Linked DNA regions of Drosophila melanogaster. The protein of the gene in region 4 purifies or fractionates together with the protein of the main gene of each other region. This does not show direct contact. Each region holds a gene or a part of one and is shown on either strand. Other genes may lie near its edges.

Region 1 (9,939 bases), on a different chromosome or scaffold from region 4:
CAAAAAACCCAATTGATAACGCTATAACAACAAATCGAATTACAGTTCGATTTTAAATCATACTTATGGGCTGACTTACCTGCATACAAAGCTTTACTTTCACATATTAAAATGTATTTGCCTACTTTTGGGCTTAAGTTTATAACTTATCAAAATTATGGTAAAGATAAAATAATTGAAAATATTTAAATTTAAATCTGTTTTGACAAGTCTACCAACTCAAGCCAAATTGTTTATACTCTTCTGCCTCAGGGCGATTTGCAGATTAAATGCACGGTGGCCTTTAATCACACCATTTTCACAAGTTTCAATTACAATCGCCGGTCATTCGATTCGTATTTCACATACGGATTCCCATGAATGACATAGTTTGCTTCACCGCAAGTCTTACGTCGTCATCATCGCTGGACAAAAGTCAGTTGACTTCATTGAAGTGCCCTACGATTTGATTTGCTAGCCACGTGAGAAGCGCCATATCTGATAAGCTGGCCGATTAGATGGAAGGTTCGAAATACGAAAATCGTCTCATAGAGGGGACCGTATCGATAAGGATTTATACACGCTTAGCATTAACTTATTCGCCTTTCATATCTACAATACGTCTGATTGTTTCCAGGAAACGATAATTTCATTGGCGAACATAAGAGGTGCACGGTATAGCATTAGTCATCAATGTTCTCATTGATCACATATTAAAAAAAAAAACACACAGATGATACAACCTGTGACCTGTCAACGTTTCGGTAAAAGTTTATGACACAAAGTGTATAAATTGACAGAACAATATAACTATTAATGTGCAGCGCCATGAAAATATCTCCCAAGACTTTATGTTGATAACTTCACAGAATTATGACTTATTAAGTGAAACGGCTTTTATATTGGTATTTTTATTTTCTTTATTGTTTTACTTTTATTCTGCATATAATATTACTTCATCTTCTTCTTAATTCGTTTTTTCTCTTGGATTTGTATGTCGCCTCATTGCACTAAAAATGTTTGTTGCCCTCTCTTTCTACGCCGTGTTGGCGATACCTATTGCCACCTCGCTCTAACGCACTTAAACGCAAAATTATACAAATATGTAAAAAGAAATTGAACAAACACGCACGTTGAAAAAAAAACACATAAACAAAGGCGTCTTACAATTACTCGCAAAAAAATTTATAGTAAATATAAAATTAGTTTCTCTGTTTTTCTCGACTTCTTTTGTTTCTGAATATTCCCCATTCCTGATCTTCGTTCGTTATCTTTCTTTAGGCAACGCGTTTATGGAAAAATATATCGATTTATGTAAATTTATATGTTATGTATATAGACGCATATCGTAATCGTATATAAATATATATGTATATATATTACAGAGTTAATTGTTTTCGTCGCAATGTTAATATTATAATTCTTTCTTAATCCTGCACAAGTCGCTTTTTTTTTCTTTCTTTTGTTTCACCATTCTTTTCTTTTAAGGATTTTAAGCGGAACAAGCTAAACCTTTATTTATAAAATAAGGTTACAGTTGTATAATTAATCAATTGTTAAACAAAACTAATTAAGAAACACCCCGCCGGGCTCGAAAACAGATGTGCGACACTCTAAAATCTGTTTGCTTAATTACAATAGGGGGAAACTCATACTCAATTATATAATATATAAATATATAATAAAAAAATTACAAAAAGTAATTGAAATAAAAAAAAAACACAAAAATGTATTGGTAGCGCAGGAAGGAACGCAATCGAATAGAGTTATTAGTAATTAGCGAATACGACAAATTTACGTAGTTCCCACTCTGTTCTTCCCTTTCAAAATCCCATCCTTTTGTTTATGTATAAATGAGTTGTGGCTATGGCGCCTAATTGCTGTTGTTGGCGGAGCTGTTGTGGTTGTTCTGGTCCACACTGTCCATGTTGGGCACGTAGTCGAGGGCCATCATGCAGGCGAAAACGGTCATCACCATTTTCGGCTTCACCTCGGTGATGTCCTCGGGCAGGGCGTAGACACGGGCGCCGATCTTGCGGGCCATGGAGATGGCATACTTGGCATTGGCCAGGTTATCCTGCGGAATCAATAAGCGCTAGTTTAGTCTGCCACATATCATGACATAGTCAGGACTCACCTCCTGTGTTCCGCTAGTGCGCACCAACTCGTAGTTAATGCTGCCCTCCTTGATGGCATCGATCAGATCGATCACGATCTTGCCATCGGCGATGGCCGGATCGTTGAAGTTACGCAGCTGCGACTGTTTGCCTGCCTCCGACAGTCGGTTATTCACCCACTGGACGATCTCCTTCTCGATAATGGGGTTGCCAGTGTTGGCCAAGCGGGACAGAATGGACAGGGTGTAGGCACGCATAAGCTGCCAGATGAGAGCTGTAACCATAAGATAGTTCAGAATTGGTAACATCCAAAAATACAATTAGAATAGCAATGCTTACCCAACGTCAGCGTGGCATTGCCATCGTTTAGATCCTGGCCTGCGATTCCGACCAGCGAGAATTTGAGCTGCTTGCCCAGATCCACCGCATAGTTGCAGTTCTCCAGCTTTTCCATGAACTTGCGCAGCGGGCTGAAACGCTTGTGCACACGGCTCCAGTTGACAATACCCGGCTTGATGACGTCGAACAGCTGGAAAATGACCAGACCATCGGCCAAATCGGAGTAAAGCCAGTTCACGTGCGGTGCCACGCCCATTGAGTTCATCCAATTGCGGTAGGCTAGATAGAAAAATAGAAATGATTGGTGTAAGTTAAATATTTTCCAAATATGTATATAACACCTGAGTATTATAATTCTAAGTAATCGTATTCTTATAAGTACACATATATTATTGTATTATATTCTTATATTCTTCTTGTGATAAATGGTCTTGCGAGCTAAAAATTCCCGGTTTTTATGGCTTGCACTTCTTGTGCAAAGCCGATTGATAAACATATATATTTATAATTGCTTTAATTATGCTATATAAGTGGCAGTTGATATCTACATTTTTTTTATAAGAAACCCTGGATTTTTCCTGATCAACTTTGATTTCTTGTGTTTAATTTTCAATTAAATAAAAACGGTATTTTGTACCGATCTTACGTATGGCTAAATATTAAGTACTTACTCTTCTCTTCGCGCGTCTCCTCAATGGACTCGAGTCCCTCGATCTGCTCGGGCTTGTCCAATCCTGGATGGTTGTTGAACAGATTAGCCACGAAGGCTAGATTGAGTTTGTAGACTCCGTTGACGACATCCTGTGGCGTGAGGAAGCTGCGGCAGTTGAGCTTGGCGGCCTGCTGCAACATGATCTCCGCGCGCGACTGCAGATCGGATTCCCGCAGGGCATCCAGATTGACATCAGCATCATTGCCGGCAATTTGCTTCAGCAAATGCGAATAGATCTCAGAATCGACGATGTCCGACTGGAAGTTGGTGCACCGCCTCGAGATGCCGGCTCGCTCCAAATGATGGTTGACCCAACGCAAAAGGATGGCCTCCGGCGACATCTTCATCAGATCCTCGAGACGTTCGTTGTCGAAGAGTAGGCCAGCCAATCCCGGACAGCTGTCCAGGGTGATGTGGCTAAACAGACCGATGCGGATGATCTGCCAGAGAAGACCCAGCACCAGATGTGGCTTGCCCTTGGCCAGATCGTGGGCATCGATGTTTACGATGTTGCATCCAATCGCCTGGGAGGAAACCAAGGCCAGGGTCAAGTTCTCAAACTCCCGGTAGACGGTGAGGTTCTTCTTGTTGATCGCACGCTCATCGATTGTGTCCGGGCAGGAGTGGTTGATAATTTTGCACAGCAGAATACCATCCTTGATGCTCAGATACAAGCGCTTGCCCTCGCTATCGATGGGCAGCAGATGTTGCAGATCCTTGTCGTGGCCCAGATTCGAGTTAATCCAGTCGGAGAAGGCCAGCTGCTCCTCGAGGCGCACCGAATGGGTGGTGCCCTCCGACGAAATGCTCGACATGCCGCCCAGGGTCTCCAAGTTCTCCTTCTTGGAGACGACCGTCTTGAATGTGCTGGCCACATCCTTGCTCTTCAGGTCCAGGCACAGTGCCTCGAACTCCTCCAGATTCAATTTGCCCTGGAAGGCAGTCAGCTGTTTGCCCTTGTACTCGTCAATCATTTCGCGCACCTGGTAGCCGGCCAGCTTGAAGCCCACCTGGTTGAGGGCATCCTTTAGCTCGTGCAGATCGATGAAGCCATCTTTGTTGGCATCCAACTACAAGAAGGAGAGGGATTTTAATTAGTATTGGTTTAAAACAATTTGCAAAAACTATTAGATCTAGACAGTTTTCATTAACATTGGCATAAACATTATTGACCTTTCCTGAGGCATAAACTTAATTTCTGGCCTTCTCGGAACTCAAAATGACTTAAGGGGCACACCAATACAAATTGAATACAGGAAAGATCCATGAGTAATCCCCGGTCATGAGTAAGTTGTCCGCCGCCTATTGCCACGATCGATCTGTGAGTCATCAATCAAATCCGAAAGCCAAACACACAGCCGCATTCCAGTGCCTGTTTTATCTGCGGAATTCGGAATGCAAAATGCTATATTCCATCTCCCGCAACCTTATCGCTATATTGTCTGTGTGCCAGCCTTATCGAATTTAATTTCCATTTTTCAGTTTTCAGTTCGAGGGGTCTTATCTCCCACCTGACTGACATATCGCTGATTATCGAAAATTGTTCGCTTCAATTTATACAGTTCAAAAGCGTGAGTGGGCGCCACAGAAAATAAGAGAAAATATACAAAAAAAAAAAAAAAAAAGAACTAAAGAAGTGAAAGCCTGAACGAATGAATCAGTTTGTAAACACTTGAGATTCGGACCCGACTTGATTATTTCTTGCAAAGTTTAATGACTAAGAGGTGGCCACTTTAAATACTAATTTTAATCTAGCTGGGATTCCTTTAACAGATTTACATATAAGAGCTATATAATTAAACAGTCCAGTCAATTCGATATATTATTATATGGGTTTCACCACTTTACTTAGATTTATTAGTCATATTTAATGGTTTAAACGCGATTTTTGGTCAAAATGCTTGAAATAATTTAGATTAGATAAGCTTTTATTGTTGGCATCGAAGGGAAATATTTATGTTTATGGTTTAAGTTGTTACAAAATGAAAAATTAAATTAACAAATGCGAACCCGTTTGTTTAAAACTATAATAGCATTGAAAACGGTGGCTGATCTATGTTGCAGTGTATACTATCTTTTTAAACTTACTGAGAACTAACCTAACTCAATAATATTAAGGTTAAATTATTTGGAAACATAACATTTTAACGTGTAATAATGTATTATAAGTACTTTTTCTTAATAAAATATAATAATTTTGGAATATGTTTTGAAAATATTCCCAGCTGATATGTTTAATATTCCACATAAAATCATATTGTAGCTTAGTCCTCAACTATGCCACAGTTTAATAAGCTTGAAGTTAGTTAGTTTTGCTCCAAATTGTTGCGATTTCCATGGGTACCCCCCAATTCGAAATATCGAAATTGGTGAAAACCCAAGTATTCAGCCGGACGGTATAATAAAACGTTCGACATTTTCGCCATATTCGGTGTGCGAAATAGGACAAATCTGAGGGGAAAAGGGGCAGTTGGATCGGCTGATATACTGGACTGTGGAATTTATGGCTCACTGGTTGGTAACTCGGTTTAGTAGTGGTGCGTTGATTGCTCCGCTTTTGCTGTTTGTCGATAAGATAAATTTCTGTGCGCCAAAAAATGAACATAAAAAATCGAAAGCAGCACACGATTACGTGTATGGTAATGATATGATAGGTGGTTCACGGGTTTTCGCGGGGGGAAAACCGTTAAGCCAACGAGGGTGTTGTCCTTGGCCAAAAGAGAGACTATCAAGCGGACTGATAGCTGGGATATTCTTTTGGCCAACATTTGACTGACATCGAACGGAAGTGATTCTGATTTTCGCCATAATTTCGGGGGGAGGTCTGTAGTGGGTCAGTTTGAAGCGCGTGCACTTTATCGGAGGTGTTCACTGTAAAGGCCCCTCTTATTGGCATTGGGTATTGGTATGCGTGGCACCTGTCGGTGTTATCGATTAAAAAGCTATAAAGTGCTCCGAGAAAAGTTGATAGGGCAGAAAAATAAAGAGGGCGAAAAAAAAACACAGACACACCAAAATCGAGAGGGAGTGATTACGTGAATTGTGGGTCATAAAAAATTCAAAATTAGCGTTTTAAAGGCTGTTCAACTCAAGACTCTCAATTTAAAAACGAAGTTTTTTTTAAGTATGTGAGGAATTTAAAAATTAACATCCGTATTCAATTTTTCAAAGATGCTTTAATGCGATATCTTCCTTATATGCGTTCCTAATTGCATATTTTTGTATGGTATAGTTGTTTGCTTTAGCGGTTATCCACTGTAGTCGAGACCGTGGCGCCACCTACGTTGGGAATGAGCTCCTCGAGATTCTGCTTGAACTCCTGAACCGTTTGGTGCTGCTCCACGTTGAGAATATCGGCCATTATTCCAATGTATGTTTGCACGCGGAATTAATTTTATTATTTACGATATTCCTTCTGGTTTTCGTTGCGAAAACAAACAAACAACAAAAAATTAATTGATTTGCACACAGTAAGTACACAACACACGCACAAACGCGTCAGAAAGAGAGTGGGTGGTGCGCGAGCGGAAGAGATCTCCAATTGATCGGGAGAGAGCGAAAGAAAGTCGGCGCGAGAGAGCCAAGGATGCGAGCTTTAATTAAATATTTCTTGTAACTACTCCTTGCTTTCTTCCTCGTTCTTCGTTCTTCTTTCTTTTTTGGCTGATTCGCTTTCCACGGGCTATTGTTGAGTACTAATTGAGTGGTTCAGTGGAACGGACTATTTATGCCTTTTCTTTTATCACAAAAAAACAGAGGCAAAAAACAGCACTCCAATCGAACGGAGCCTTATCAGTAAATGAGAGAGTAAAAGAGGGGAGAAGCCGTGCAAAGAGAGGCAGACGAACACCTTTAGAAAACGCGTCATCCTGTATCGCTAAAAAAAAACTATGATAAAAAGTTACTTAGTTTCAAAAACGGCAAAGTAAAAGGTTCAGTAAATGTGCAGAAATCATCTATAAAGAAACATTGTTAGGTATATATTTTAATTTTCTCCTGGAAGGGACAAGATCCAGTTCCCTCCTTACTTTATTTCTTTCAATGATATTAGCCATTCTCTTTTGCTCTCTCCCAGGTGCAACAATACAGCAGGGTTGCCAAGTCGCCATAAAATGCGGGGTGATTATAACATACAAACAGCAACATATCGCAGCATAATTTAAAATATTTATTTCGTAATCTCTTATTTGTTTATCATTTTTTACATGTGAATAAATCGTTAAACTGTACACCATGAATGTACAAACGTGACGTAGATCAAGTGATTCAGCTTATAAGAAATTATGCAAGCTGTATGAATCGTTGCCTGGATAGTTAAATTTAGTTTTAGTTCATATTTCAGTTGATTCACTTGTCAATTTTCGGTCTCTAGCGTGACGTGGCAGCCCTATTCGCAACACTCTCAAAAGTCCGAAATCGCTTTCAACAAATTGCTTACGCATCGAAAAGTTTTCGTTTAAATGCAATACTACTTGGCGGGTGAACTTATAGAGAGATAATGGGAAAATGAGTGTAAAAAGTACCTGAGAGAGGGACACGGTATTTAAACGTAATTGGTTTTTTAATAGCCATTATATCAGCGAGGGAATTATGTGGCAATTGTCATTTCGGTTAGGTTATAACTTGTACAACATAAATCTAATTCCAGCCAAGATAATAAAAGTTCGAAGCGCGATAAGACAAGGAAATGCGACAATAAACGTTTAGAACTTCCTTCGAACATAAAAACCAGGGGGTTAACGTAAAACTTTAAAGGATCTTGTGTTCAGAAAAAGTCCTCAAGACTGCCAAAATATCTTAAAAAAAATAAGCTTTGCAGATAATAAAAATCGAATAGTTTAAGAGCACACTTTCCCCAGTGTAGTTATGCACAGTGGCCAGTAGTGTTATCGATCAGTTACTCGCGATGACTAATCGCTGGACATACAAAGGCTTTTGTTGTTTGCTTGTAAGTGTCGCCGCTCCTCGATCGACCGATATTTCGAATTAAAGAGAATAAGCCCAGCTGAGCAAACGCATCTTTTGTTATAAAACAGTTGTTGTTACATAATACTATCCACAAGTTTGAGCAAGAGCAGCTGGGCTTAGTCCTATAGGTAATGCTATCAGATTGGTTGCAATCGAAAATGTTGTGCTAAGTACATATATACATATTTATATTACAATATATCTGATATATGTATGTAAATCTATCGGTCGTTAACCTTTCTAAACAGTTTACTGTTTCCCCTCGATAATTACTCCAAATTGCAATAATTTAACAAATATTTACCTCATAAGATGAGTTTATTGTACTTCAATTCACAAAATATATTGCACTTAATTAGCACCTGTAGTACGCCTACCATTTCATTGATTGGAACGCGTTCATTTACACATTTAAATTTGTTAAAAGCCACTTTCAAGTATCTTATTTACTGGCAGTAAGAAATCAAACACCAGAACCGCACACGCCTGACCCCAAGCAACTTTCTACGGGTTCACTTTTGGTGTCACCGATGTTTGCCAACCCTTCACCTATGTACACTCGAAAAAAAGGGCATTAAACAGCAATTTGTTTTTATTTTATATACTTATATGTAGTTTTCCTATAAAGATTATATTATTTTAGTTATGGTTTGAGATCCTGAAAAAAGTCATAAATTAAAAACCTTTTTTATCTAATAGCTAGTTTTATTTGTCCAAGTGTAAGATTTCTTTTTTTTTACCCAGAAGAGAACCTAGGCGGCAATCATAATTATGACAAACAACGCGCGAAATTTTTGTTAATGAACGTTTTTCCTTGTATTTTGTTGTTTATTTTTTCAGTTTGTTGTTTTTATTTTTTTCGAGCGTCAATGTTTGCGCCGCTATTCGGAGCTTAGTCACTGTCATTTAAAGGCAATTTACGGCAAATGAAGTTCATTAGCAGCGGCGAAAAATTCGAGAAAGAAGCAAAAACAAAATGCTAAGCGGTCTTTATAGTTTTTAAAGTTTTGTTTGCCGCGGCTTTTAGGGGGAAAAATGTTTGAGTGACGTAATTGTAGATGTCACCTGGCCGAGAAAACGGAAAACATCAAGTATTTGTGCCACTTTTTTCGCTTTCGTTGAACCGGTTTTCGAGTCCAAAAACTGTCATTTCGTATGCCCGGCACGACAATTGGAATTAGCCTAGCTTTTGCATATCAAGTAATGCCGTGCGATAGTGCAACTACGGTTTTTTAATTCCCCACCCCTTCATCACCTTCCCCACGCTTCACAATCCAACCCATTCCACCCACTTATTCAGTGTGTCGCGACCTCGACAACAAAGGCAGCATTACATCAACATCAGCAGCAACAATAAAAAGCATACACAAATAAACAGCAACAATACAACGCGCGCTGATTAAACGTGAGTCAACAACGTTCAGCATTCGAAACATGTTAATCAGCATTGTTTGATAGATATACTCATACCGCTTTATGCATACGACGAGTATAAGACCCCCAAAAGTACCCACAAAGTACCCAAGTGCGCCCCTCCTTTGACCCCGCTGCTGCCCTGGAGGTCGAAGTGGGCTATAAGAAGTGGCTGTTCGAATCGAATCGAATACAGTCAAGGGAAATCAATTGAACAAAAATTAATAATGCGCCCATGCCTATGCCGATGTTGGCGATAATAATGATGATATGCTAGATAGTTGTTTACCGTTGCACGGCCGTAAAAAAGACCACCAATAGATACTTTACGAGCGTGCACCCCACAAAAGTGGAAACATATTCTATATTATATTTATTTCAGCACAAAAAGATTAAACTGATGATTTTTCG
Region 2 (6,080 bases), on a different chromosome or scaffold from region 4:
AGTTCAAACTGGTCGCTTTTCAACACTGTACCCAAAATGATATTGCCATCCCATCCCATTCTATGGGGAATCCGAGAAGGGCGGGCAAATATATAAGTTCAAAATAATCAGGTGGTGGTAAGAAGTCAGATAAAATATACCAATGATCAATAAAATTAAATGCTGTAGCCTTGCTTTTGTCATAACCGAAAGCTTATCGATTTCACTTATCGGAATCTCAGTTCAAACAGCGATATGTCAACCAGTCATCAAGAACCACAAAGCGTTTATCTCGACCAGATAAACACATTACCCTTACCCCATTTATGAAGAAGGCAACCCCAAGTAATACCATTTATGTTTTAGTTATACCGACATTTAAACAAATTCGCTTTAATTTATTAACGCACTCAACATGGGGTCTACAGTACATTGTCACATTTAAATATAGTCATTTAACTATGTATGTATTATCCATAAATATAGAGATGCATGTATATGTATGTGTAAACTAGTATCAAAAATTAGTAAAAACGACACTTAACCAACTGAAAAATTATCCAAAATATATATGTATGCTCATGTACCGTATTTATAAAAGTATGCGATAAAATCAAAGCCAACAACAACTTAGCACGCAAGTAGAAGACGTTGAAGATTTCATCATGAAAATGCATTATGGGATCATGGTAGAATGAATCGTTCGACCGGACGTTAGAATGTGTATAAGTATGTGCGTGGATAAGGACAGCAATAAATTAAAATCGACAAACTTGTGAGGTTTTTGTGCCATTTGATGGCGATCCATTTGCTTCTTATTTCGTTTTAGTGTGCACTTGTCGTCTATAATATTGTTCAATTTGCTTTTAGTTTCGATGTTCCTCCCTTATGGTTTCATTTATAAAATATCAGGTTCTGCTATGACCAAAGATCGCTTTAGCGCTGTAGTGTCTATACATTCCAGTGTGTATATATCGGGCTGTGTGTTAAATGGGTGTTCTATAGGATGTGCATCAGAATATACAACTAACTGCCCGATCATTGACTCAATCGAAGTTAATCATTCGGAAGGTTCCGTCGTTCGGAACGTCGGTTACTAACGGAGCACCCCTTTCCTGATCCTTCTCACTGGCTTCCCGCAATTTCTCATCCACGCCATATCGCTCGTCTTCCGTGAAGTACGGGGAAAAGCTTAGCAGCTGGGTCTCGTAGCGCGTCATTGCATCAGACAAAGATCCATTATCGCCGCCCATTTCCACGGGTAAATACTCCAATCCAATTGCCTTTCGCAGAGACGCGACGGTGGAGTGAATGTGCAACTGTAGGAAGGGTAGCAAAGAGTTAGTGGTTCTGCATCGATTTTCCCTTTGAACTCACCAGCTCCTTTTGCTTCATGACATTCCGAACCAGTCCAAGGACAAACTGCGTCTCCCTGGATGCATTGACAATGTGCGTGGCCACTAAATTCGCTGGAATTCCATGCTCTAGGAATGCATTCATCCGCTTGAACATGCCAGGATCGAACTGCAGTAGCAGAGAGTAGGGTATCTTGGTGAAGTCGATGATCTCCACCACGCCGGCTATGTTCCAGTTGTCGTCCGTGTTGATCTCGATCTCAGCGCGAAAAGCGTGGAAGCGGAAAATGTCGCTGACACTGTGCTTGGAAGGTTCAATGTGACCCATTCGTGTGTAGTGGATGCGGGGGCCACCAGGGCCAATAGGTTTGGGCAATGTGGCGAATATTCTGCAAAAGAACAAGTTTTTCTATAACACCCACCTCCAGAAAATGAGGGGGGTCCCCGCCTTACCCTGAACGAGCCAGTTCTATCAGCTTATCGTCCACCTGGCGACCCTTGAGCAGTTCTCTTTCCTTTGATTTGTAGGTGTAGTAGAAGAGTACCCTCTTCTTGGCCTCCTCTACGTCCCAGCGGCAGAAGCGCAGAAAGGCCACCAAGAACTGATCGTCGGTCCGCGCCTCCAGGTAGATCTGTTTGTCGATCCAGGTCCTTAGCGCCTCGATCTTCGCAACCGTCGAGGACGGATCCTCGCAGAGCTGCGTTCGAGCCACCTCTGCCAGCTCCGGCTCCAGCGATCGTATCTTGGCCATGGTCACAGGGAATCTGCAAATCGATCGATACTTGTCTTAATTTTGAGATACGATACCGAAGGCTTGGAGTGTGCTAAGGTGTGTGTGTTCTCTCGCCAGGTGCGAACACGACTAACAGAAAAGTTTGCGCCCGCCTGCTTGGACTGGGTTACCGATTCTGATCGGTTCGGGAACCCTCCCGGATTCGATAGCGGGCACACTGGTGCAGAAGAACGCGAAAAACACTACGGCACGGAGCAAACTCACAATGACAAACCATTTGAGCACCAGATTATGTGATATCAGTGGCCGATAGAGCAAACACAAATAGCAATGTTATGTGAATATGATAAGTGCACTGGAAAATACATTTGCACCTTACTGGTTTCGTATTGGTAATCTCAATTTTGTAATGCTAGTATAAAGTTTAAAAAATTTTATTTATATAGGATGATATATATTTGGATATTTTTAGTATACTTCTTAAGCAATCCAGCCTTAAAATTGCGATTTCATTGCGATTTAAAGATGATAATCGATTTTTTACACCCCCGATAAATAATAAATTGTTCAATCAACTTATATCTTTAAAAAAAAATACACCCACTTGATATGTCATTAACTTTTAAACCCCATAATTGGGTAATTCCTGCCAACTGTGCTTTTCCGATCCGGTGATAAGATACGATCTGCATACTCACAACCGTTTGAATTGTGGCGTATTTCTATCCACAGAGTCAACTGCTTCTTCGCCAGCTGCACGCTTACACGCCATAGATGCAGTGGAGCCGTAATCTTATCTCCTCCGAGGAGAGACTTCGACCGCCTACACCCAAAAGATCGGGTTGGATTTGATGGGCCGTCGGAGCAAAAGAGAGTGGTGGAAATGGTCGTGTCCGCTATCAACTGAATGAGTGGCCATAAAGGCAGCTCAGATTAGCTTTTAACGGTTCCGTTTCGGCCCGGGGATTTTGGCCGCCGTGCGATTAGGAAGAGCGTTTAGTAGCCGTCCAGCCGCCACGAAGCAAGCGACTTCCCAAAAATGGCCAATCTGCGTCCCCTGAGCGCCGAACTTCGTCGCATTGCTGAAACGGAGCTAAACGAAGTGGAGGAGCGAGTGCCCGCGGATCTGAAAGCTCTTCGGGATTGGTTGGCCAAGCAACCTCATCTGAGGGCCCGCCAGGATGACCAGTTCCTAGTTGGCTTCTTGCGAGGCTGCAAGTTTAGCCTGGAGAAGACCAAGTCCAAGCTGGATCACTTTTATACTATTAAGACGCTTATGCCTGAGCTCTTCGGCAAAAGATTGGTGGACGAAAGGAACCTAATCTTGTGCAGATCTGGGTGAGTTAAAAGGCGCTCATCAAGGATATTTAAAAACTTAAGAAACTTAAATTTCTATTTAGAACCTATGTTCGATTGCCCAAACCTTGGGGAACCGATGGCCCCCGCCTGCAGCTTACGAACTATGAGAAATTCGACCCTAAGGAATTCAAGTTATTGGATCTCTTCCGCTACCAAACCATGATAACGGAACAGTCAATCCGTGAGGATGACCACAGCAACATTAGCGGCTACGTCGAGATCGTTGACATGGCCAAAATGAGCCTCAGTTTTCTGGCCCAACTGGATTTCACGCTCATCAAAAGGATGGGAATATTCGCTGAGAAGGCACAGCCCACTCGCTTGAAAGGAGTCCATCTGATCAATTGCCCCAAGGAGGGAGTGGCGTTACTGAATTTGGCCAAGAGCCTAATGCCCAGCAAGCTCCAGCAGCGGGTGAGTAGGCAAGAATAATTGAATAGTCGTAGCCACTCTAGCTAATTTATTTTCGTTCCCTTATCGGACACTTCAACGAGATTATCAGCTGGTCTAGCAGGCAGCTGATAGGCGTTGAAGAGCTGTGGCACTCTCTCACCCCTGAACTATTAATTAATATTTCACAAATCAGAGCCACTAACTTTCGAGCTGGGTCCGCATACTGTGAAATACTGTGTGTGGAGCAGCATTGCCTAAGGTCAGTTGACCACGCACATGGGCTCTTATCATTGAAACACTGGGCCGAGTTTTAAGATACGGGGGGAAGGTGCAAGTAGATATATCAGCGAATAGGAGAATAATCTATTTCCCTGACTCATCACACACATGGCTCTCTACTTTTTCAGTTTCACGTGTATAAAAATCTCGAGCAATTAAACGAGGTGATACCACGCGAATACCTGCCGGAAGAATATGGTGGCAACAATGGACGTATAGCCGACATTCAGGCGGAAGCGGAGAAGAAATTGCTGTCCTATGAGAGCTATTTTGCTGAGGATTCCCAGTACGGAGTGGATGAGCAGCTGCGGCCTGGAAAGCGTGTTAATGCGGATTCAATTTTTGGCGCTGAGGGATCCTTCCGAAAACTCGACATCGATTAAAGTCGGAACGTGTTTTAATTAGTATTCAATAAAAGGCAAAAACAATCCTCAAAACAACTAACTAGACTTCTCATGAGAATCGCCGAGAGCGACGCGACAGATGGCCAAATCGCAGAGCCATTAGCTTTTAGCGAGCACTATCTGTGACACTTGTTAATAGCATTGTCAATCACCTAACTAACTAAATGAAGTGGGATCAAGTGTTGGTCATGTTAATTTGACGAACGCTTAGGCAGTTCCTCTGCAAAAGGCGTCGAAGCAGGAATCCAACGGAATGGCTTCGGTTTCCAGCAGCGACGATGTTAGTAATGAGTAAGATTTTCATTTCACCGTAGTTATACCTTTTTCATTTAGTTTGACTTCGGCAAATGGGACTTCCCAGCCGAGCGCATCTGGCTGCACAAGCCCAATGGGGAGATCACCTGGAAGATCTGCACTTTTCTACCACTGATTGCTTTTGGTCTGTATGGAAACTTCAGCATGGTTTATGTGATAGCCACCAACCGTTCTTTGCGCTCGCCCACCAACTTGATTATTGCAAATATGGCCGTTGCGGATCTACTGACCCTGGCCATTTGTCCTGCCATGTTCATGGTGAACGACTTCTATCAGAACTACCAGTTGGGATGCGTGGGCTGCAAGCTGGAGGGCTTTTTGGTGGTGGTCTTCCTCATCACAGCCGTGCTCAATCTCTCGGTAGTCAGCTACGATCGTCTCACGGCCATCGTGCTGCCAATGGAGACGCGCCTCACCATAAGGGGCGTCCAGATAGTGGTGGTCTGCACCTGGGTCTCGGGTATCCTATTGGCATCACCATTGGCTTTCTATCGCTCTTACAGGGTGCGAGTGTGGAAGAACTTTACGGAGCGATATTGCAAGGAGAACACCTCTGTGCTGCCCAAGTACTGGTATGTTCTGATCACCATTCTGGTGTGGCTGCCATTAGGCATCATGCTTATCTGCTACATAGCCATATTTTATAAGGTAAGCAAAGAAAGTGTGCTCATCCTGGATTTTTAACTAATAAGCCAACTCAAAAACAGCTTGATCGGTATGAAAAGCGGGTCCTAAGTCGCGAGAACCCGCTGACAGTGAGCTATAAACGCAGCGTGGCCAAGACACTGTTCATTGTGGTCGTTGTCTTTGCAGCTCTACGACTGCCCTTTACAATCCTGGTTGTACTACGGGAAAAATACTTCGGTGAAGATGTCTCTGTCAGCAGTGGAATGCAGCTATTCTGGTACATATCACAGTATTTGATGTTTCTGAACGCCGCCGTCAATCCGCTGATCTATGGCTTCAACAATGAGAACTTTAGAAGGGCCTACTACCAAATTTCTTGGGTTCGCCGATGGCGAGACGCCACCCAAATGAAGAAGTTTTCTCGATCACCAGACCACTGCTGCTACTGTGCCTTTATGAAGAATGGAAAACGAACCTCAGAGGCAGCACAAAAGGCAGGAAATTTAGAAAAAGACATAAGCAAGGATATGTCGTCGGCACAACAATCGGCCAAGTCAACGAAGATAGTTGAAAATGAATTTGTATCAGAAATCGAGGCAGACGGATTTATATAAAAGAAATTTAAGAGAAACAAA
Region 3 (6,446 bases), on a different chromosome or scaffold from region 4:
GAAAATGAGCATGAACTGGAGGAAGAGCATGAAAAGCAGGCGGATGGGCAGCAGGTAGATCTGTCGAAGAAGCAGGAGGATCAGAAGAAGATTCTTGACGACCGGGAGGATGAGGAGTATCCAGATGAGTACGAGAACAGCCAGCAACAGCTTAGCCAAGGCACTGGTAGTAAACGACGCGCTGGCTTGGCCTGCGATCAGTGCGGCAAGCAGGTGTACAAGCTACCGTACTTGGAGGCCCACATCCGCAGCGTCCATCAGGGCTACTCGAAACCCTTCTTGTGCCGCAGCTGCGACAAGTCCTTCACTCGATATGAGCAGCTGCGCTCCCACATGCGCAACGCCCATCCACAGCTGGAGCAACTGCAGCAGGAGCTGCGCGACCTAATCTGCGAGCTGTGCAACCGGCAGTACAGCACAAAGAATGCCTTGGGCGAGCATTTAAAGCGTCATGCCCAGCGCAAGGAGCACGTGTGCGAGCACTGTGGAGTGGCCAAGGTGACCCGAACGGAGCTACTGACCCACCTGCGCACCCACAATCCCACCTGGGAGCGCTTCAAGTGCGAGCAGTGTCCGCAGCTCTTTCGCCACAAGAGCGCCATTAGCCGGCATGTTCGGGTGGTCCACGAGGGTCAGCGGCGGTTCCAGTGCGGTCATTGCGAGAAAAAGTTTGGCACGCATGCCTCGCAGGTGCGGCACGAGCGGCTGCACACGGAATCCACGGGCTCGGGAGAGGCAGCCGAGGAATGGCCCTTTGCCTGTATTCACTGCCAGAAGCCTTGCGTTTCGCGACAAACCCTTGAGTTGCACCTACGAAGGCACCGCGCGAGAAAGACGCACAGAAAACGAAGGGAGCACAGTCGGGAGAGTCAGGAGCAGGAGCAGGAGCACGACCGCGATCAGGAGCAGGGCGCTCGGGAAGCTCAACAGGATCAGCTCCGCAAGGGGGAAAAGCTACGGCAGAGAGATCTCTCCAGGGAAAGCCACCGAAATGAGGTGACCATGCAGACAAGCCAGCGGCCAAATGAGTGTCAACAAGGTCAAGAGTCCTACGATCCGGAACCGGATCCGCTGGAGGCAAGTCAGTGCAAGCTAGAGCAGGAAGATGCACTCGATCCGGAATGGCAGCACAAAATAGAGCAGGACGCAGAATCGCAAGACTCGGCGCGACTGGAAGGGCATTTCCATGACTACAAACCTATCCCTTCGAAAGCCTTATGATCAACTATAACCTATCCATATACGTCCGGTTACATACATCAGGTTAGCGCCCCTTGAGCAAAAATCTTTGATTTGAGATATTTAGAAAACTGTTAAAGCTAGAGTTTTGAAAATTGCTTTTCATTCAAACGTTGAACAATTCTATAAATGTAAAATTTATATAGGATGCAGTTTCTTGTTTATAGATTTTTATTTAAGTAAAAAAAAAATCCATAAATGGGTTAATTAAAATTGGGTTATCAGGATAACGCCCCCTAAGATAATTTAAGTTGGTTCGATTCATTTCGAAAGAAATTGGGATGATTAACACTTAAATATTTAAATTAGAATATTTTTAAAGGAAATTATGGACTTCACACATTCGTCTGGAAAGGGAATCATATATTTTTTTTGTAGGTAATCCAAAGTAATCGCAGACCAATCGAGTTTTATTCCGGTGAACGATTCGTTTTGAGTGGCATATTGTTTACCACCCTCGTATACCTTCCTAGCCAACCATACCCACACGTTATCTATTATATAGTAGTAGTATGGTGGTAGTAGTATGGAATCCATGTTTTTGCCAAACGTGCAGTGTGGATTGAGACACTGTCAATTTGAAAATGTCATTCTAAATTTCCAAAAACGTTTCTAAAGTAGGGAAATGCAGTTTTGAATTATAATCTTTTGCGTTCATTTTTGGTGTTTAAAACTGCAATTTACCTATAACCCGACTGTGACAGCGATCCAAAATGTACGCAAATCATAATAGTAATGAAAAAAGCCGTCTGGTTTCTCCAGATTAAATTTCTTCTTGTCCGAAAATACGACGCCACTCCTTAGACCAAGTCAAATGAGCTCGAGCAAAACTCAGACCCGCTTTTTTTCGCAACTTATTGAGAGGTGGTTTTATTTTCAGTTTTTCGTGTTTTATGTTTAGCTGTCTTAATCACCATTTGAATCAAAGATTTGATCTGGTTTTCAACACTTTTTCTCGAATTTTGGCGGAGAAGTCGTGGGAATTGGGAGGTATTCGAAGTATGGACCTGCGATCTGCCGCGGTAAAGACAAGGTTATTGCCACCATTATTTTTTTTTTCCATAAGTTTCGTTCTTTTGAATAAAGTTTATTATAGGGTTGCGACATCTGGCGGGTTTTCTGAAATTTTATGATTATGAGCATTAATAGAATGCTATGATATTGTATATTTCCTGCAGGGATAACAGGGTTCCTCTTAAAGCAAACTTTTCAATTCAACAGCATAACAAATTTTGTTGTCCTTACCTTAGGACCTTTTTTTTATCCTCAAGGAGAGAGGGAATGTCAGTGAACAAAAAACAACAACATTGATGAATTTTCGTGCAATGGCAAAACCAGAAAATAAAAATGAACGGAGCCATGCAGGGGGCGCTAATCTGATGACGCGTAGTGTATATCCAATGAACTATCATGCAAATGTGGCTAGGACGCATTAGCGAAAATTTTTAAATATCTTACTTTCACGACATTTTATCCTTGCTACTACAATGTATTAAATAGTTTTATATGTTCGCTTACTTCGTATTTTATACGTTTTATATGCTCGCTTACTCCATATTTTAAGTGCCTAATAAAACTGTTGACGATAATTGCTTTTCATGGAAGGACTTTTGTGACAACATTTTGGATATACTCTTTTTTTAAAGTGTATTTGTCAAGTGTAAAATTTTGTGTCACAAAAGGTAAATTCCGATATTCGTTTTTTGAAGGTGCGATAGTCATTAGTTTTTTCCTCGTAGATGTCAATCAGCAAAAAGCGCACTTTATAATTTAAAACTTACAGTGTATTTAAATTTATTATTATTTAGTCTAAACTAAAAAATATCGATACTTCCAAAAGCTCCCGTCGCTGGGAATATTTGCTGTTCTGCGCACGGCCACACTGAAACGGAATGTACATAAACAAGGCCGAAATTCGATCGGAAAGCACTTGCTGAATAAACGCCAGCTGATAAACACAAAGATGTCGGCCATATCGGGACGCGCCCTGCACTATGTGTTCAAAATCGGAGATCGGGCGAAAAACGCCTTCTTCTTTCGGCAAATCTTGGGAATGACGGTAAGCTGGGTGTGGCGGGCGTATCGCCAGAAATCGGCAGACTTCCTTATCGCAGGCTGTTGTGTCTGGCTGTAGTTTTATCTGGACAACGTGTCAACGACGCGCGGCTGCTAATTAAAAAGCCCAGATGCCCGATAATGTCATATAATGACTGTGTTAAAATTTCATTTTTCTCTCATCGTTTTTGCTCCCTTCTATCGCCATCCCGCTCGTTCGCACGGCAACAGGTGCTGCGGCATGAGGAGTTCAAGGAGGGATGCGACGCAGCTTGCAACGGGTGAGTGCTATTTCGGAGTGTTGCGACAGGACTAACTGGTAGTGTTAATCCTTCACAGGCCCTATGACAATCGGTGGAGCAAAACAATGGTGGGTTATGGACCCGAAAGTTCGCATTTCGTCATCGAACTCACGTATAACTATGGAGTGAGCAGCTACGAAATGGGTAAGACACATACCGGATAAAAATGTTAGGCTCACATGAGGATTAAAAGTCCTGAGTGCAAGCTAACAAGCGGGAACGTTTTAACCCTTACAGCGGCTAAGTAATATCATCCTAAAATACCTATTTATTTTATCAGGCATTAAAGCGTTTTTAATAAGAATTGAGAGTTGAAAAAGTTTGAAACTTCAGTGATGGTAGGCTAAATCGCATATTTAAGCTTTGAGCAGTCATATGTACACATTTCTGGAAATTTGAAAAAATGTACAACCCTATAAATGATTACCGAGTTATAATCCAAAATATTTAATCTAACACTAGTAAAATTGGGATGGCTTATCTTAAAGTACAAATGAGTTATTCTATCTTCGACAACTTCATAATTAAGTGTTTCACTAATAATAGCTATTCGATAAGTGACTTGTCTTAAGTACGTAAAGATAGTAGGTTATTAATCTTTTTCTTTATGAATACGGAAATAGTTATCTATAAGTAGGTCGAAATCTATCAGTCATTCTAGTTAAAACCGCGATGAAGATTTCTGTCTATCACAAAATGAACTAAAAACGAAAGTATGTGAGTTGAATGTTTGAAGATGTTTGAAAAAGTACAGTACAGTAATTGAAATATACTACTTAATGATTCCCTTTGTATTAATTCCCAAGTTAATTTTAACACTTATAAATCCTGTTAATCGATACTTATTCTTTTCGATTCAGGCAATGATTTTGGGGGCGTGACCATACACTCCAAGGATATCCTTTCCCGCGCCGCCGAGCACTCGTATCCTGTGACACAGGTGTCTGGAAAAGCCGGTAGTCTGCTGACCTCGCCCGATGGCTACAAGTTCTATGTGATCGATCAGGCCTCTGCCAGCTCTGATCCTGTCCAATCGGTGGAGCTTAATGTGAGCAATCTTCAAAACTCGCGCAAATACTGGCACGATTTGCTGCAACTGAAAGTTCTCGAGGAGAACGAAGCAAGCGTGCGTTTGAGTTACGGTGAACAGCAGGCTTCACTGGAGATCACCCAGATCTCAGAGCCAATTAATAGAGCTAAGGCCTATGGACGAATCGCCTTTGCCATTCCGGCGGCCCAGCAGCCACCTCTCCAAGAAGCGGTTAAAGCAGCTGGCGGGGCCATTCTAACACCTCTGATTACCCTGGATACGCCAGGAAAGGCCACCGTTACGGTGGTAATTCTCGGTGACCCCGATGGTCATGAGATCTGCTTTGTCGACGAGGAGGGCTTCGGCCAGCTATCTCAGGTGGAGTCCGATGGCGATAAGCGACTGGATCGAAACATCGAAAAGGATCCCTTCCAACCGAAATGACTTTCCCAGCAATCCTTGAGCACTGTTATTTGTACACAGCACCTTTTGTATTTGGATTTTGTATTGTCTAATGGTTAATGGCTGTTTTCAACGGAGATATTATACTTTTTAAAACATTGTAAAACATCACCTACGCTCGTTCTTGTTTTACAACATACATATATTTTATTACATAAACTGTCGATAAAATTAAGCGTGCGTATGGGACTTATTTTTCTTTGTTATAAGAAGTATTTTAGCTTTTCTAGTATTGAATCAATCAAAAACACCTTTAAACGAGGTGAAAAGACATCCTGATATCAGCTATTGTGGTTTTTAATTCGACTAAACAAACAGATGGTCATAAATCCGCTTAATTGGTCCTTACTAGCGAAAAGGATTTCAAGTATATGTATTCTTGATTTGGAACACATATATTTTATTAAGTATTGCGTACTTAAGTATTATTTTTATGATCCTAACAACGTGCTCGGGATTTTCCTTTCATTTTCATTTCAGTTTTAGAAGAGACAAATTGGTTTCGATTTCGTTTTTTGTAGCATTTATTTTTTTAGGGTGTTTCCTGAATTTATTTTTATTTTTTTTTTACTTGAGCGACAAGGAGACGTTGGTGCAGAATGAAGGACTCGAGTCAATCGGCGCCGGCAGGCCTTTTGGTGGCAAATCTGAAGTCTTGGGAAACGTTCGACTGGCCGACGGAGCAGCAGCGTTGGATCTACCGCAGTTGGGGCCAGTACTTTGCGCGGATGCGGAAGAACACCTTTGCCCAGAAGTACTTCGACAAATGCATCACAGAGAATGAGAGCACGGATCACAAGGCTCTTTATCTGCGCAGCAAATTCAAGAGATCGGTGGCCCTGACGCAGGACGCATTGGAGGATAGCTTGAGGGCCATGGAGGTAAGGCAGGCGTGGGACGCAAATGTGTCCATGGAGCTCGGAGATGCGCTCTACGATTTGAATCGGTTTGAGGAGAACAAGAGCCTGCTGCACGACAATGTCCGTCGGCATGCGGGCACCGCTCTAAAGAGCTTCGAGAATCGCCTCGTGGTAGTCGATGAGAATCTCAAGGATTGCACGGGCTTCAGCCTGGCCAACTTCTTCATGGAGCATTCCGCGCAGCTGCCCGGCTTCTATGCCCATCAGCAGGAGGAGCTTCGAAGGGCCGACAGGCGGCCGCTGTGGAAAATCCTCAAGGAGCGAAAGGAGTGTGATGTCCAGAGCAGGATCGATCGCAAGGAGGTGATGCTCTCCCCACTGGAAAGAGAGCGCAGGCGTCGCAAGACCAAAATATTTTATCAGAACTATTTGGGTCGCAGCTGGACCGATTTTTTCTTTCTGAAAACACTTCGCCGGCATCCCAACTGTCTTCTAGAC
Region 4 (7,886 bases):
ATATTCGACTGACAAACTAAGTAACACACACCTCTCGTCCCTTTTCTTGTGGAAAATCACTTTCTTGTCTAGGTATGCGCGTACATGTGTTTCTCCTCTTTGTGTGAGTTAGGCTCAGTTTCTCAAGGCTTGTTTAAATGCTCTATTTGATTTCATTTGTATAACAGCTCGCGAGCGTGTGTACCCTCTGCCTATTGCAACAAACCCTCGTTTGCTTTAAATTTGTATCCCAGTAACTAACAGCTCCAGCATATAAGTCCAAGATATTTGGAAGTTATTGATAACCGTCCGCCTTGATTACTTCCTTAACATACGTTTGCTATGCTGGTTATTTGCTTTTTCGATGTGTTAAATTTTTTCTGCTAGCAAGTTTGCACGCAAGACACCGAGCAATATCCTTCGACTAAACTAAGCCGCCCCGATAAACTTGACTGATTGTCGATTTCAGCCTCACCAGCAAGGACCTCCGTTATTTCATGTTTAAACGCTCAGAGGTCGAACGAGAGCAAGCTTTTTCGGCTGAAAGCTCGTTTTTGCGCATGCGATCGAAGCAATGCACTGATAACGGTACAGCTGGGCTATCCTGATAAGAGTCCCTTTGCACAATAGCGTATTCAGAATATTACCGGAAGAGCATAAAGTTAATTAAATCTCATTAAGGTCTCCCGCCAATAGGCAACCACTGACCGATGAAGAAAACGTCATGAATGCAGCTGACCTTAAAATGAGTGCAGCTGCTATTTGACAGCGCCTGTGTGAGTGTGTCGGGGTGGACTGCACTATGGGAAACCTAACCACTTTTTCTGGCCAAAATTAATAACTTCAGAACGGAGAAATTTATTAGGAAAAAATTCGACAAAATTTAAAAATTGTTCAAAAGTGTGGACGTGGCCGGTTTCGCGGCTTTAAAAATGCTTATGTATGGCAATTTATATTTTTATCGAATTTTGGGTTGAACATTTTTTTTGCTTTTGCCACTCACTTACTCATAATGCAAGCCACACTGATTAAATGCCTTACAGAATGTAAATAACGCTTCAGAAAAAAATTGGTTAATTTTTCATAGTAGAGTTCTGTTGCATTTATTGATGTCCACTAAACATAGTATACAAACATGAGTAAGAGATATTTACGTTATACTTTTTATACATTAGTAAGTAATTTGGGGACCAAAGAATTTTATTCAGAATAAAAAAAAGGCATTTCCAAGTCTATTTTTCTAAATGTTATTTTTTAAATACCACAAATTATGAATTTAGTAAATAGATCCGTTGATTTTTTTCCTTAAAAAAATCTACTGATTTCAAATCAAAGCCCGCCTCAACGATGTAAAAAAACTAGTAACGATGACACCTTTACTGCTCTGAAATCATCTTTTGTGATGAAAATATAATTTTGTTCTGTTCAAGAATATAGGTATCTTCATTGATATGTACGTGCTTATCTACGTATATAATTCTTTGCTGCGAACTTAGACATTAGAGCATAACTGATTTGAATTCAATCTTTTTTGTGCGTTCAAGGGGATTTCAAAATGGTTGAGAATATTAACCTTAGACCAGTAGTGCCCAATTTCCTGCGTCGCGGAAAAATCTGTTTTCTTTAATTATTGGTCGATATATCGCCTTAGAATATCGTGTCGAAAGTTTCAAAAGCTAATTCTCGAAATTTTGGGAGATGCCCTTCGGATTTCGGAAGTCATACTTTCCTTGACGGCAATCTTTAAACCATGTTTGGTTCTATATGAAGTAAAGACTTTTCAATACAAACGAATGCCTCGTTCCTATAATTATATTTTAGAAACAAGAAACAACCCCAAAGCAAGGCTAAATGGAATAAACCCAAAATTTTACAGACGATGAAATCGAAAACCCGAAACAAATCACCCACCTGTAAAGCAAACATCCGTTGTCCAATTTTATTAAATCAGCATGTTTTCACGTTCCAAGCCGACACTCACAAGCTCGAAAGCAAAAGTTTGAATTTCAATAAATAAAATCTTAAAAATCTAATAGCGCTTGTATCCAAGAGCGAATGCACTTCACTCCAAAAGCCAAAGACACTAGATTATTCTAGTGTCTTTGCAAAAGCCCATTAAAATTTTACAGCCCAAAGTCCATATTAAAAAAGCTCGAGACCGAGGATTGATCGTCAATCAATATAGATCAATAAGTGGAGTTTAGCATGAGACCTAAAATTAAATGTTGACTTATGAAAATTGAAAACTTGTAATTATATGTATGTATAATAGCGTCTATGTTCTTCGGCAATGGAATCTCAGTCCTAGTGTATTGTTTTCCTTGCCAATAGCCTAAAATATTGTAAAATTTTAGTGAAGCAGAAAATTTACCAGCTGCCTGGTAGCGCACTCTAATTCTTTTTTCTATTATACCGATCAAGGGACGCAGACAAGGCCACTATACATATGTATGTATGTACGTACTTATGCGTGCATATCTGACTACCTGAAAATGTTTTCAGAGGGGTGAGGATTATTTCCGTCGGTTTTATGTGTTTGATTACATACATATGACATATCTTTAAGATATTATTTTTAAGATCTTGTAGACTGTGTAATTTACAAGGAAATTGATTGATGTAATTTAATAAAAAGCTTGAATTTTTTAAAAATGACGATATGTGTATATATATATATATGAACATACATGTTTGTGTGTTTGTTTATTTAATTTTTAGGAGTACCGGATCAAAAAAAAAACTTAGAATTGGGAAGGTGTATTACACGAAAAATCACTCAGGTCAATGAGAAAAACAAGGATAGGAATGCATTTGAATATTTTACCTGCTATATTTGTGTAGCCGCTAAATAATAGTTAAAAGGTGGCAGCCCTTTTTAGGGGACCGTTATTTTGAAATATTTGTCACTGCTATATTTCATCTCTTTAATATATTAAAATAAAATTGTAAAAATCTATCAGCATAAGCTAACTCCGAATTAAATAGAGAACGGGTGATAACGATAACAAACAAAGATATGTTTTCCGGAGGCGGAACTATCGCAAGCGGACTACCGACGTCTACCAACACTACAGGGCGGCGCTTTAAAAGCCGGTCCGACGCTCACCGCTCTCTCATTCGGCGTTTTTCTTTGTGACTGTGTGGACGTTCTTAATTGTACGGCAAAATCTCCAGCAACCAAGCTACTTTCTTAGCAAAGCTACTAAAGAGGAAACTATATTGATAAAATTTCGTTCTTTTAAAATCTTTGTGCTGATATTTAAGGCGTGCTTGGTGATCCAAAAACCCTCAGTTACAACGTGTTTTCTCGCTTCGCGTTTGAAAAGTAATATCTAACAGTAATTCAAAATGGCTGATGTGGCTGAGCAAAAGAAGTGAGTACTTTGCTTGCCTTGTTTTCGGACGTTTGTGGATTTTGTTTAAGCAATGGACTTGTAGCGAATTTTGCTAATGAAAATCTATGTTATTTGCCGAAAAGATTTGGAAATTTTCTTTTGAATTCTGTGTCTATATACGCAAACCGCTTGTTGGCACTAATGTAGTTGTCTCGTTCCCGCCAAAGGCAAAACGGTGTGCGCGCAAAAACCGACGCCGTTTAATTTGGCGCGGCGTCATGGTGCCTTCTCGCTCTTTCTCCGGCCGGCAAACAGCAACGATGAATTATTTGTGTGTGTGTGTGTAGCGGCGGAGTAATGCGTTGAGTGTATGCGGACGACAGGCCAAATGCGCAAAAGTCTATAGACATGTGTGTGTGTATGCGTGTGCAGCATTCAAGTTGCCGCTCTTTTCTTGTGCTGTTTCATTTCATCTGTCTGTGCTACCTCGTATGTTGCTTTGCTGCGTTTCTCACCAGACATCAAATTTCGAGGCTTGCCTTTTATACCCATTTGATAGCTTAAAGCTCGAAGCTTGAAATTAACAGTATAAATTTTCACGCATATCTATATTGGCATTACCAAAAATACTCCCTCTTTCCCTATCGATGAACACTTATGTATATATTTTTTTTAAGTAGTTATTATATGTTGCAGCTTATAATACATAACAAAACAAAACTCATGCCTAAGGCTGTTCCGGTTTTCTTTGAAAGACGCAGGTTGTATGACGTTATGCTACTGTTTGTATCGTTTGGACCGTTATTTTTGTCGTTTAGCGTTGCTACTTTGCAACTCTCTTTTTGTTCGCCCTATAGAATTCTATCTACCTCAGATGGCGAGTATCTGTTGGTAGATGAGTGCGAGAGAAACGACTATATTGTCATTAATCCCATTAAAACTGGTTTTTATTTCTATCTTTGTTCGTTTTAGTTTAAACGGGTCTCGCTTTTCATTTTGCACGTCTGCAAGCGTGTTTTTGGTTCTACCCTGTTCTCATCTGTTGGTAGAGAGCACTGAAATAACAAATGAATATATGCCATTTATATGAAAAAGAGCGTGCCGCCTAATCGCACTCACCTTTTCGCGCTTCCTTTTGCGTCGCAGCTTGCACGAGTTGTTGATCCCATTTTTGAAAAACGCCGGCAGATGTAACAATGCACTTTTTTTTTAGTTTTAATTCCGAACGTCCTGGGGCTCTTATGAATAGAAAGTGGAGGATGAAAACATAAACGTTACCTACCGGCGCTATATTGAAATTTTTCTTTTTTTTTTTTAAATTCAATTAATATTTAATTAATTAATAATTAATAGTTTTAGTTTTTGATAATTTTTAATTGATTTACTGTTTAGAGTTTTGTATGTAGTAGAATGCTATGCATACGAAGTTCAGTTCGGCCACCTTCGGAAAAAATTATAAGTGCATACTGACTTTCGTCTCTGATTATCACCCACAGTGAGACCCCTGTTGTCGAGAAGGTCGCAGCTGAGGAAGTTGATGCTGTGAAGAAAGATGCAGTTGCCGCCGAGGAGGTAGCAGCTGAGAAGGCGAGCATCACAGAAAACGGTGGCGCCGAAGAGGAGAGCGTAGCCAAGGAGAACGGAGCCGCCGACAGCAGCGCGACCGAGCCCACCGACGCAGTCGATGGTGAAAAGGCGTCTGAGCCCACTGTTTCTTTTGCCGCCGATAAGGATGAGAAGAAGGACGAGGATAAAAAAGAGGATTCCGCTGCCGATGGGGAGGACACCAAAAAAGAGAGCAGCGAAGCTGTTCTACCTGCTGTCGAGAATGGCTCCGAGGAGGTCACCAACGGTGACTCAACAGGTATGATGATATCAATGATATCAATGCCAAACAAATTTTCCACGTTCATGTTCTTATTGTTCAATTTTTATTATCGCCTTACAGATGCTCCCGCCATTGAGGCTGTAAAGCGGAAGGTGGATGAGGCTGCAGCCAAGGCAGATGAGGCCGTCGCCACGCCGGAGAAAAAGGCTAAGCTTGATGAGGCCAGCACAAAGGATGAGGTTCAGAATGGGGCCGAGGCTAGCGAAGTGGCCGCCTAAGGGAATCGCCCGCGGAGCAGCAAACTCAGTAATCTACTTATTAAATACTTACTAACACAAAAAAAGCAAATCACAGAAATTACGGTTCTACCGCCAGGAACCCGGACTGTATCCATTTTCCGCTCTTGTGAGCGGGTGATACGTGGGTGGCTGCTTGGGTGGCGGGCGCAATTCTCCAATAACAATCCGGCAATGGGAGCGTAGTTTTATAGCGTACCGGTTCTCTCTCTCTCTACTAACAAACAACCTACCAACCAACAATACCGGCAACAAACGAAAACAAAAAATCCATTATTATTTAAAAACTTACTTAAAATCTTAACTTTAAAGCAAAGTATATATATATATAAAGCGAAGGATTAAGAGAACAATATTAAGCGAAATTAAGATGCGAGACCCTCTATGTTTTAAGAATAAAAGTTGTAAACAAAAGCGTCAAATTTAATAATTGTAAAAAAAAATACGAAGCGAATGAAACAAATTGCAAACAAAATCTTTAAGTAAGAAAAACATCAAAACAATTACGGCAAAATAACATATGTAATCCTTTACAATTTTTAATTTTACAACCGTATCTTATTTTTGAGTATGAATATTTATATCGAACAAAGTAAAACTAAAAATTCAGTAAAATGTAACAAAAAGCTGCCAGCAACAACCCCAGAAAAATGTATGCCAACCGGCTAAAAAAATACTACCACATAGAAACAATAAAAAGTACGAAAAACAACTTTTACAGCAATACTCTGAAATGTTTATTTTTAAAATGCTTTCGAAATCGTACCTTTTTTATTTGTAATCAAGGTACCACCTATTTCACATTCCCAATTACATTTTATTTACTTGTCTAAGCCTACGAAATAGTCTGCGACGAAACTCTCATTAATGTTCAATGTTTAACAACGATTTAATGGGCAGGAAAGGTAATGGCCAGTAAATCCAGCATTCAGCAAAATCAAGATTCGAGATTATTAAAAAATAAAATGAAACGTAAAAATTAAAATCAAACTGTAAGCGTAACTTTTATTAATTTGAGCATGTTTGTATTCGCACAAATAACAGCTGTCGCCAATAGTAGAAATTATTATTTTCTTGGTAGGGTGCGGTCCAAGTACATATTAGTGGAAAGTAAACTATTTTAGGTAATATGATTTCGACACAGAACGTTACAAATAGTATTACTATTTTGCCTACGGTAAGTTGTTTTTTTTTTTGTATTTTTGGACTTTCGTTTAATTTTAATCAGAAAATTTAATATTTGATAATCTCTTGACTCATGACATTATATCCCATATATTTACGTCAATTAAGAAGCCTGTAAAACAAACACGGCAAATCTACAGTTCACACTTTAGCTAAAATTACATGAAGAATAAACTCCGCAAAATTTTATTTCATTTCATTTATTTCACGCTTAATGACATCCAATTTTTTTTTATTTTAACCTTAACAATAATAAGAGTACAGGCCAATAATTAAACCTTATCTACTTAGATATTAATATCAATATGAATAATATGATAATGAAAATATTATACCGATTGGGAAAAAAATTTTATGTAATTGAAAAAAAATCTAAGCACTTAAAAAAGGCTATTATCTAAAAATTACAATTAAGGTGGATAGGTCAAATCATTTATATGCTGGTGCACAGCCTCTTGACATTTAATAGAGAAATTTTGGGACAATCTTATTAATCTATTATAAACCACTTCAATATTGGCTCGGTTATGTAAATGAGCTGTTGAGTGATGCCAAGGGTGATTAAAGATTAGTTTTAATATTTTGTTTTGTCTGATTTGTAGCAGGTTAATGTGACATTTGGCCATTTCTGACCATACTGGAGCACCGTAAAAAGATAGTGCTTGGAAGATTGACCTGAACAGAACATTTTGTTTTCAATGTTTTATCTGGAATTTATGTTTATAAATGGATAAAGCGAGCAGATAATGGCTTTAAGTTGTTCGATTGTGTCACTTATGTGATCTTTGAATTTTAGCCTATTGTCTAACGTGATAGATACCCAAGTATTTGACAGTTGTTTCCCAGTTGTTTCTGCAAAATTAATTTCGATAAATCTCTGGGAAGTGTTCCATCTTCCAATCCTTCTGGATACCAATTTATACTAGTCTTTACCCTATTTTACCCTTTATCCGTAGACAAGATTATTTGAAAAGATTTTATCAGGTAACGTTTTTTTTTTTATTTTTTGTCAGAATCAATAGTCTAGCCAAAAAAAATAAATGCCAAAAATCTTTATCAAAGGTGTGGGCGCGCGATTTTTTGTCGGCTTGTAGGAGTGGAAATCTTTTTAAACATGATTGATTTTATTCATAAGTTTGCAACGCAGGTAAGAAAATATTTACGTACTCATATTATTAAGCATGTATTTTATAAGATATTTTGTCGGCCGTATGAACGTCGAGATTTCAGGAACTATAAAAGCTGCGTTGAGATTAAGCATAC

The links.
Region 1: the proteins of Df31 (region 4) and Fim purify together in Drosophila melanogaster (affinity purification with mass spectrometry, with the first as the bait; one large-scale study listed by BioGRID). This does not show direct contact.
Region 2: the proteins of Df31 (region 4) and CG30339 purify together in Drosophila melanogaster (affinity purification with mass spectrometry, with the first as the bait; one large-scale study listed by BioGRID). This does not show direct contact.
Region 3: the proteins of Df31 (region 4) and CG1532 purify together in Drosophila melanogaster (affinity purification with mass spectrometry, with the first as the bait; one large-scale study listed by BioGRID). This does not show direct contact.

The regions. Positions count from the first base shown.
Region 1 is NC_004354.4:17,284,821-17,294,759, forward strand, and holds Fim (fimbrin), read right to left. Parts: upstream 6,850-9,939; 5' UTR 6,509-6,849; coding exon 6,431-6,508; intron 4,218-6,430; coding exon 3,107-4,217; intron 2,715-3,106; coding exon 2,436-2,714; intron 2,371-2,435; coding exon 2,117-2,370; intron 2,057-2,116; coding exon 1,853-2,056; 3' UTR 884-1,852; downstream 1-883.
Region 2 is NT_033778.4:9,599,888-9,605,967, reverse strand, and holds CG30339 (uncharacterized protein), read left to right. Parts: upstream 1-3,066; 5' UTR 3,067-3,107; coding exon 3,108-3,406; intron 3,407-3,468; coding exon 3,469-3,841; intron 3,842-4,227; coding exon 4,228-4,482; 3' UTR 4,483-4,537; downstream 4,538-6,080. Other genes in the region: CG1902 (uncharacterized protein), read right to left, coding at 1,026-1,298, 1,357-1,723, 1,788-2,086; CG30340 (uncharacterized protein), read left to right, coding at 4,757-4,783, 4,837-5,466, 5,526-6,059.
Region 3 is NC_004354.4:21,025,032-21,031,477, reverse strand, and holds CG1532 (uncharacterized protein), read left to right. Parts: upstream 1-3,116; 5' UTR 3,117-3,202; coding exon 3,203-3,298; intron 3,299-3,525; coding exon 3,526-3,575; intron 3,576-3,633; coding exon 3,634-3,740; intron 3,741-4,456; coding exon 4,457-5,070; 3' UTR 5,071-5,353; downstream 5,354-6,446. Other genes in the region: CG1529 (uncharacterized protein), read left to right, coding at 1-1,221; r-cup (ryder cup), read left to right, coding at 5,688-6,446.
Region 4 is NT_033779.5:21,625,134-21,633,019, reverse strand, and holds Df31 (decondensation factor 31), read left to right. Parts: upstream 1-3,087; 5' UTR 3,088-3,327; coding exon 3,328-3,353; intron 3,354-4,043; exon of another isoform or gene 4,044-4,369; intron 4,370-4,433; exon of another isoform or gene 4,434-4,558; intron 4,559-4,810; coding exon 4,811-5,178; intron 5,179-5,262; coding exon 5,263-5,420; 3' UTR 5,421-6,711; downstream 6,712-7,886.